2 linked regions of the Rattus norvegicus genome follow. Each later gene encodes a partner of the first gene's protein in a complex. Links are inferred from orthologs where the notes say so. Each region holds a gene or a part of one and is shown on either strand. Other genes may lie near its edges.

The links.
Region 2: the proteins of Paxip1 (region 1) and H2ax are in contact, whole or in part, in a crystal structure (PDB 3SQD), measured with the Homo sapiens proteins. The link is inferred for Rattus norvegicus from reciprocal best matches to the Homo sapiens genes PAXIP1 and H2AX. Residues at the interface, in NP_031375.3 of Homo sapiens: Phe871, Thr872, Gly873, Phe874, Pro876, Lys907, Thr909, Arg910, Thr911, Val912, Lys913, Pro986, Glu1050, Leu1053; in NP_002096.1 of Homo sapiens: Gln138, Ser140, Gln141, Glu142, Tyr143.

The regions. Positions count from the first base shown.
Region 1 is NC_086022.1:8,307,306-8,311,121, reverse strand, and holds the end of Paxip1 (PAX-interacting protein 1), read right to left. Parts: intron 3,695-3,816; coding exon 3,560-3,694; intron 3,475-3,559; coding exon 3,399-3,474; intron 3,319-3,398; coding exon 3,258-3,318; coding exon of another isoform or gene 3,194-3,257; exon of another isoform or gene 1,067-3,193; coding exon of another isoform or gene 1,066-1,066; coding exon 1,050-1,065; 3' UTR 632-1,049; downstream 1-631.
Region 2 is NC_086026.1:53,567,604-53,570,741, reverse strand, and holds H2ax (H2A.X variant histone), read right to left. Parts: upstream 2,025-3,138; 5' UTR 1,957-2,024; coding exon 1,525-1,956; 3' UTR 670-1,524; downstream 1-669. Other genes in the region: Hmbs (porphobilinogen deaminase), read left to right, coding at 1-56. UniProt on the Homo sapiens protein: Variant histone H2A which replaces conventional H2A in a subset of nucleosomes. Nucleosomes wrap and compact DNA into chromatin, limiting DNA accessibility to the cellular machineries which require DNA as a template.

The sequences.
Region 1 (3,816 bases):
ATTGAAAGGTTAATCAAACTGGTCATACTTCTGTTAAAGAAACATCTTGTCCCCTGCCAGGTGACAGATGTCTGACATTCCAGAGATGCTGTTGAACTTACATCCACCTTCTTCCAGGGTCTGGGACACAGCACATGGCGTGCTGGCAAACCCGCTGTGCACGTACATAGAGCTCTTCTGCTCACCCCGATTCCCACCAATTTCCACACTCGGAGCTGGCTATTTCATAGTGACAACTTCCAGCAGATGAAGGCCAGCTCTGCAGGGAGTGTCTCAGGTTGCTCAGACGGACACTCCGCCTGCCGGTGCAGCTCTCTGGCCACTAGGAACGTCTCAGTTTAACAGAAGAATGTGTGTGCAGATAAGAACTATACAAAACAGTCCAATGGGAAGTCCCCAGAGATCAGGGCTGGCTGGGAGACACGTGGGTGGAGGACACGGAGACTGTGCTTTGGGGGCTCTGCCCAGGCTGGGTAAGTAAGGGTGACTGCTTATGAAGAAATAACATCAAAACTTATTTCTCCAGGAGAAGAGTTACTTCAAAATTATTCTGCTGTGGAATTTCTCAGTTTGTTGAAAATTATTTATGTTATGCAAAGAATAGGAAATTTAAATAATCACTCAATTCTACTAAGTTCAAAAGTACATTTATTTAAATGTGAGCAAGTTATCAATATAAAAGAAAAGTAAGAAATAAAAATAATCAAAGTACAAAACATCTCATATCTTTAACATCCATAATTTAGACAGCAAAGTCTTTATTTACATCATTTTTATTTGTAGATGAAATTTCATACAGCTTTCTGAAAACACATTAAAAACCTGGCAAATTAATCAGAAGACTTAATGTGGGCTCTTAGGCATATAATACAAACATAATTTATGTTTCCTAGAATAAGGTCACACATCTTAACACGATGCAGTTAGTATTTCATGTCTCCCTAAGGCAGAGCTGGAAAACAAGCCCTCTGCAGGGAGGGAGTCCTGGTTTGCGCTGCCAGCAGCTGCCCTTGTGCTCCAGGCTCCAGGCTAGCAGCACCAAGAGGCCATCAGTTAAATTTATATGTGGCCTTGTTGAGGAAAATGGTTTTTACACACAAGGCAGTGGGGTCACATTAAGCAGAGCCCCGTTGGAAGAGAGTTCTAGAGATCACCTCTTCCTGCATCCAAGTTACCTTGTCCTGCTGCAAACTCCGACACCCAAGGCACAGGCTCTCTACTGGACACATGGGTGAAGGCACCCTTCTTAGGTCATAGCTAAAGCCTAATCCAAGGCACATTCCTGGTTTCTTATCCCCAAAGCCACCACAAAAACATGTCCTTAAGAGAACTGTAATCTAAGTGTCTTATGAGGGCAACACTGAGGGCAGCAGTGGTGCTCAACACTTTAACGCTGCAATCCTTTAATACCTCCGGCTGTGGTGAGCGCCAACCATAAAAGTGTTTTCATTGCTACTTCATAACTGTAACTTTACTACTGTTATGAATTGTAATGTAAGTATCTGACATGCAACTCCTGTGAAAAGTTCATTTGACCCCAAAGGAGTTGAGACCTACAGGTTGGGAACCACTGGGCTACAGGAGTGGGGATGGGCCTTCAGCTGACCGATGAAACCGGAAAAGCAGCCCTACCAATGGGAAAAGCGTGGGTCAGATGTTCTGAGTGTAAGCAGTGCAAGGAGAAGTCTGGGAAAGATCCCACAGAACGTGCTGCGTAAAGACCAGATGTTACAGCACACCAGCCTCCTGTCGCTCCCCAGCTCAGTCTGCTTCGAGGAGGGTCCCTGCCAGACACTCCTACTGGCCACAAAGTTGGGTCTTCTAGCTCAATTTACTGAGTTCTCGGTGCTAAGAGGAAGTGTTTGGTAAATGCACTCAGCTGGGTAAGACCACACAGATGAAGGGCCAGGGACAATATCACTCTGACCTGGGGGCTGTTCACACATTAAAGTAACCACCCCAGCTGGGCACGGTGGCTCATGCCTGCAATCCTGGCACTCAAGGTGAAAGCAAGAGGATTCCTGTGAAGCCAGCCTGGGCCACAGGGTGCCAGGCCAGTTGTGTAATAAAGTAAAACCTCCTTTCTAGAATCTGTGTCATTCTAAAACTAATGCCTGAGATTTTCTGAGAGGAACTGTAAACTGGCAAACTTCTTTCCTGGGAGCCCGAGCCTTAGCTGTCCAACAGGTACACAGCACACCTGTGCCGTGCCCAGCACACCTGTGCCTTAACTACAATGCCGGGCCCAGCACAACTGTGCCTTAACTATAATGCTGTGCCCAGCACAGAACACCTGTGCCTTAACTACAATGCCGTGCCCAGCACACCTGTGCCTTAACTACAATGCCGGGCCCAGCACAACTGTGCCTTAACTATAATGCTGTGCCCAGCACACGAACACCTGTGCCTTAACTACAATGCCATACCCAGCATACCTGTGCCTTAACTACAATGCTGGGCCCAGCACACCTGTGGCTTAACTACAATGCTGGGCCCAGCACACCTGTGCCTTAACTACATTGCCATACCCAGCACAACTGTGCCTTAACTATAATGCTGTGCCCAGCACAGAACACCTGTGCCTTAACTACAATGCCATACCCAGCATACCTGTGCCTTAACTACAATGCTGGGCCCAGCACACCTGTGGCTTAACTACAATGCTGGGCCCAGCACACCTGTGCCTTAACTACATTGCCATACCCAGCACACCTGTGCCTTAACTACAATGCTGGGCCCAGCACACCTGTGCCTTAACTACAATGCCATACCCAGCACACCTGTGCCTTAACTACAATGCCGTGCCCAGCACACCTGTGCCTTAACTACAATGCCGTGCCCAGCACACCTGTGCCTTAACTACAATGCCATACCCAGCACACCTGTGCCTTAACTACAATGCCGTGCCCAGCACACCTGTGCCTTAACTACAATGCCATACCCTGCACACCTGTGCCTTAACTACAATGCCATACCCAGCACACCTGTGCCTTAACTACAATGCCTATCAAGCTGTGTCACTTCCTAACTCATGACTGCGGAGTGTAGAACAGCCCCAGCCATGGACTCCCATTAGTTTCTATGGAGTCAAATGGTCAAATCCTTCAACATCTACATAAGCCAAACAGGTCCTTAGGTGGTCACCTATAACAGCAAGAGAAAGGTCTGCAGACCAGAACCATCATGTCTGTTTTCAGCTTGCAAATGTGTCTCCAGCTTCCCCCGTCCCCTGTGCACCCTGCCCTTGTAAAGGATATGATTCGTAGTCCAGTGTCTGTGTGAGCACTCCAGTCAGAACAAACTCCGCATTGTGAACATCTGCAGGGGACAAACCAAAACTGTTAGGAAAGGCCACTGAGGACACTCGGGTCAGTGTAGGTGCAGGGAGCCATACCTACCTATCCCCCTGGCAAAGTACTCTCGACATAAGTGCAGGTCATTCTCACAGGATATTAAAATTATCTCCGACAGACTCTAGGAAGAGAGAGGGAGCTCATGAGTGAGGGAGAGAAGCACCCACGTAGAACAGCCCTGGCTTCCTGGAGCTCTGCTCTCTCACCTTATTCTGCTTGTGCTCCATGAGCTTCCGAAAGGACGGCTGCTTGGCTAACACCTTCCCCCCTGCACACTCCACAATTGCCTTCATAGTGGCAAGGCTTGGGCAGATGCCAGGGGTGATGTAAAAATACTTTGTCTACAAGGAAACAGAAACAGGTCTTTTAAATGTTTGTAACTGCGTGTAATTTTTCATGAACCTTTTTTGTGCTACAGGGCATCCGTGTAGCTCTGACTGTCCTAGAATTTTCTATATAGATC
Region 2 (3,138 bases), on another chromosome or scaffold:
ACAAAGGAGCTAAGAACATCCTAGATGTTGCACGGCAGCTTAATGATGTGCGCTAACTGGCCTGCAGGGCACAGGAACCGAACCCCAGCTGTCACTCCAGTGCCTATGTCTGGCTGTCAAGTGCCCTGTGCTCCTTAACAAGGGGAATGATTATCCCAGGAGATTGAACCAGAGTTGTTGAGACTTCGGCCTTGGAAGATATGCCTCAACTTGGGGCCTCCATGACTGCCTTTCCCTCAGTAGTTTGTGGGCTTCATCTCTTTAGAGAAAGTCCATGCCAATCTTTTAATGTAACCAATGCCACTAATCAGTTCAGAATGTGGTTCTCCTGGAGTTGGGGGAAGATATGAATAAACCCAAAGCCCTTTTAAACCTGAATTCTGAGTCTGGGACCTTTCTGTTGTAAAACATCCTGATCATTCTCAACCAAGCAAAGAAACTAGCCTTCATCCCTACAGCCTGCCTGTCTTTAGTTAACAGGATCTTCACATAGCCTTTCATTCCCAGTGCCTGCAGAAAGGAAGGTAAGTTTATCCTCTAGTCCCACTCCCTCCCACGAGATGTTCTGGGCACATGGCTCCTCGACTATGGAGCTGTAAATGTCCAGCCCTGGGACTACAGCATTCAAAGTTAAGTTAGGCATTCAAAATTAAATCAGACACTCCGTTTAAAAAAAAAAAACAAACCAAAAACGATCCTTTAATAAAATTAGCCCATTGAATCTCCCCACTTCTTAAGGTTCTAAACTTGTAATAGCTGCAAAAGTTCCAGTTCAGAAGCCAGAGGCTCAGTCCAGACAGGGATTCACCGACTTGTGCTGGTATCTGGGTGTTTGGGTTGTAGTTTGAGTTAAGGGAGAGGGATAGCTAGGCCCGGCTCCTCTAGTCTTCTGCGGCAGGTATACAATTCTTCTGTCCACAGGCCAATAGGCGTTCCCTGACCCTTTCCAGTTTATCTTGGAAAAATTGGCTTCACGTTATAACATGCCGGCCTACAAATGACGACAGGGTCAACTGGTTTGAGAGGCCAGTAAGGGGGACACAGAGTGAAACAGTATGATCCGCTTCTCACCAAAGTCCGGCAATCAACTCACTTCTGAAAGGTCCAGGAGAGGGCTAAGCACCAAGCTGAAAACGCTGGGGTTGTAGCTGCGGGGGGGGGGGGTGGTGGTGGTGGTTAACTAACCTTCAAGCCCACCTCGGCCGTACGTCATAGCAAAGGGCCGAGATTTCTGGAAGGTGGAAGGTGCCGCAACCTCTCCGCACAGCCCGTCGACGACTGAGAACGGCGAAGCGATGTCACGAGCTCCGGGATGGGTAGGTGCCCCGGCGCCCGCGTCCTGTGGCAGACCCGGAGGCCGCACAGGGAAGGGTAAAGACGCGAGGACTGAGAGGAGAGAATGGGATGGGGACGCGGCGGGCCGGAGCCCGAAGTGGCTCAGCTCTTTCTGTGAGGGAGGTGGTGGCCCTTAAAAGGGCCTTTGTGGAGGTGGGGGAGGGCTGGGCAGCCGCGGCGCGGGCTCCCTCAGTACTCCTGAGAGGCCTGGGAGGCCTTCTTGCCGCCCGCCGGCGCCTTGGGCCCCACGGTGGCGCTGGTCTTCTTGGGCAGCAGCACGGCCTGGATGTTGGGCAGGACGCCGCCCTGCGCGATAGTCACGCCGCCCAGCAGCTTGTTGAGCTCCTCGTCGTTGCGGATAGCCAGCTGCAGGTGGCGCGGGATAATGCGCGTCTTCTTGTTGTCCCGAGCCGCGTTGCCCGCCAGCTCCAGGATCTCGGCAGTGAGGTACTCGAGCACCGCCGCCAGGTACACGGGCGCGCCTGCGCCCACGCGCTCGGCGTAATGGCCTTTCCGCAGCAGTCGGTGCACGCGGCCTACCGGGAACTGAAGGCCGGCGCGCGAAGAGCGCGACTTGGCTTTGGCGCGGGCCTTGCCGCCGGTCTTGCCGCGACCCGACATCGTGTGCGAGGTAGAAGGGCTGAGAAAAACGCCAGGAGACAAACCGCCAACCGCCGCAGTCAACTGTCGCCTCGCGCGGGCAAGCTCGCCCTTATAAACTCTCTGGACACGCCCCCGCTTCCGCCTAATTGGTTCTTTTTTTAATACCCACCTCTGGTTGGTTGCAATTAACCCTTCGGTGACGCGCCATAGCCGAGAGAACGCGCTCAGCGATTGGTCCAATTTGAAAACCTTTTACCCGGGGAAGAAGACAAGGCGGAGTGGCTGCAAGCCAGAGGCGAATCACCCTTGGAAATGGCCAATCAGTATAGAGCGCGCGAAATTTAAACGCTACGGCGCGCCCACAAACCCGAAGACTAGAAGGGTGGAGCTTGGAGCTACCTCTATGGTTTCTGGGAAATCTGAGCCGGCCTGTGGTTTTAAAGGAAAAGGGTCTTCACTGTAAGCACCTTTCTCCTTCCAGGTTAGGGCACTTCCTACTCCCTCCTCTAATCTGGCAAAGGGAAGGGTTTATTTATTTGCTTGTTCTTTATTATTATTTTTGGGTTTTCGAGACAGGGTTTTTCTGTGTAACTCTGGATGTCCTGGATCTCTCTGTAGACCAGGCTGGCTGCGAATTCTGAGATCTGCCTGCCTCAGCTTCCCAAGCGCTGGGATTAAAGGCGTGCACCACCACCATCTGGCTTTTATTTTAATGAGACAGGGTTTCTCTGATTAGCCCTTGGTGCCCCGGAACTCAGAGATCCGCCTGCCTCTGCCTCCCTTGTGCTGGGATTAAAGGCTTGGCTGAAAAGGGAGGGTTTAAAATGAAAGAAATGAAACCTTCTGAGAGTTTAATCCTGTGCCAGAAAACGGAGCACCGTTATCCATTATGCTATCACAAGTTTGTGCTGTAATATTTATTTGATATGTTCTGTCTGGTCTCAGTATGTGACAGACCTCTCTTACAAGAAAGGGTCTGAGGGGAGCAGGGGTAGGGATCCTATTGGAAAAGGTACCCACTCTAATCCTTTCAATCTATTCTAAAATGCCTATATAAAAAAATAAATATGTCGAGCTTGGGATATAGTTCAGTGGTAGAGCATTTAAGTATAAGGATGCCCTAGGGTTCAATAAGAACCTCAAAGGTTAAAAAGAAAGGAGGAAGGAGTGGCTACACCTAGAGGAACAAGTAAAAGGCAA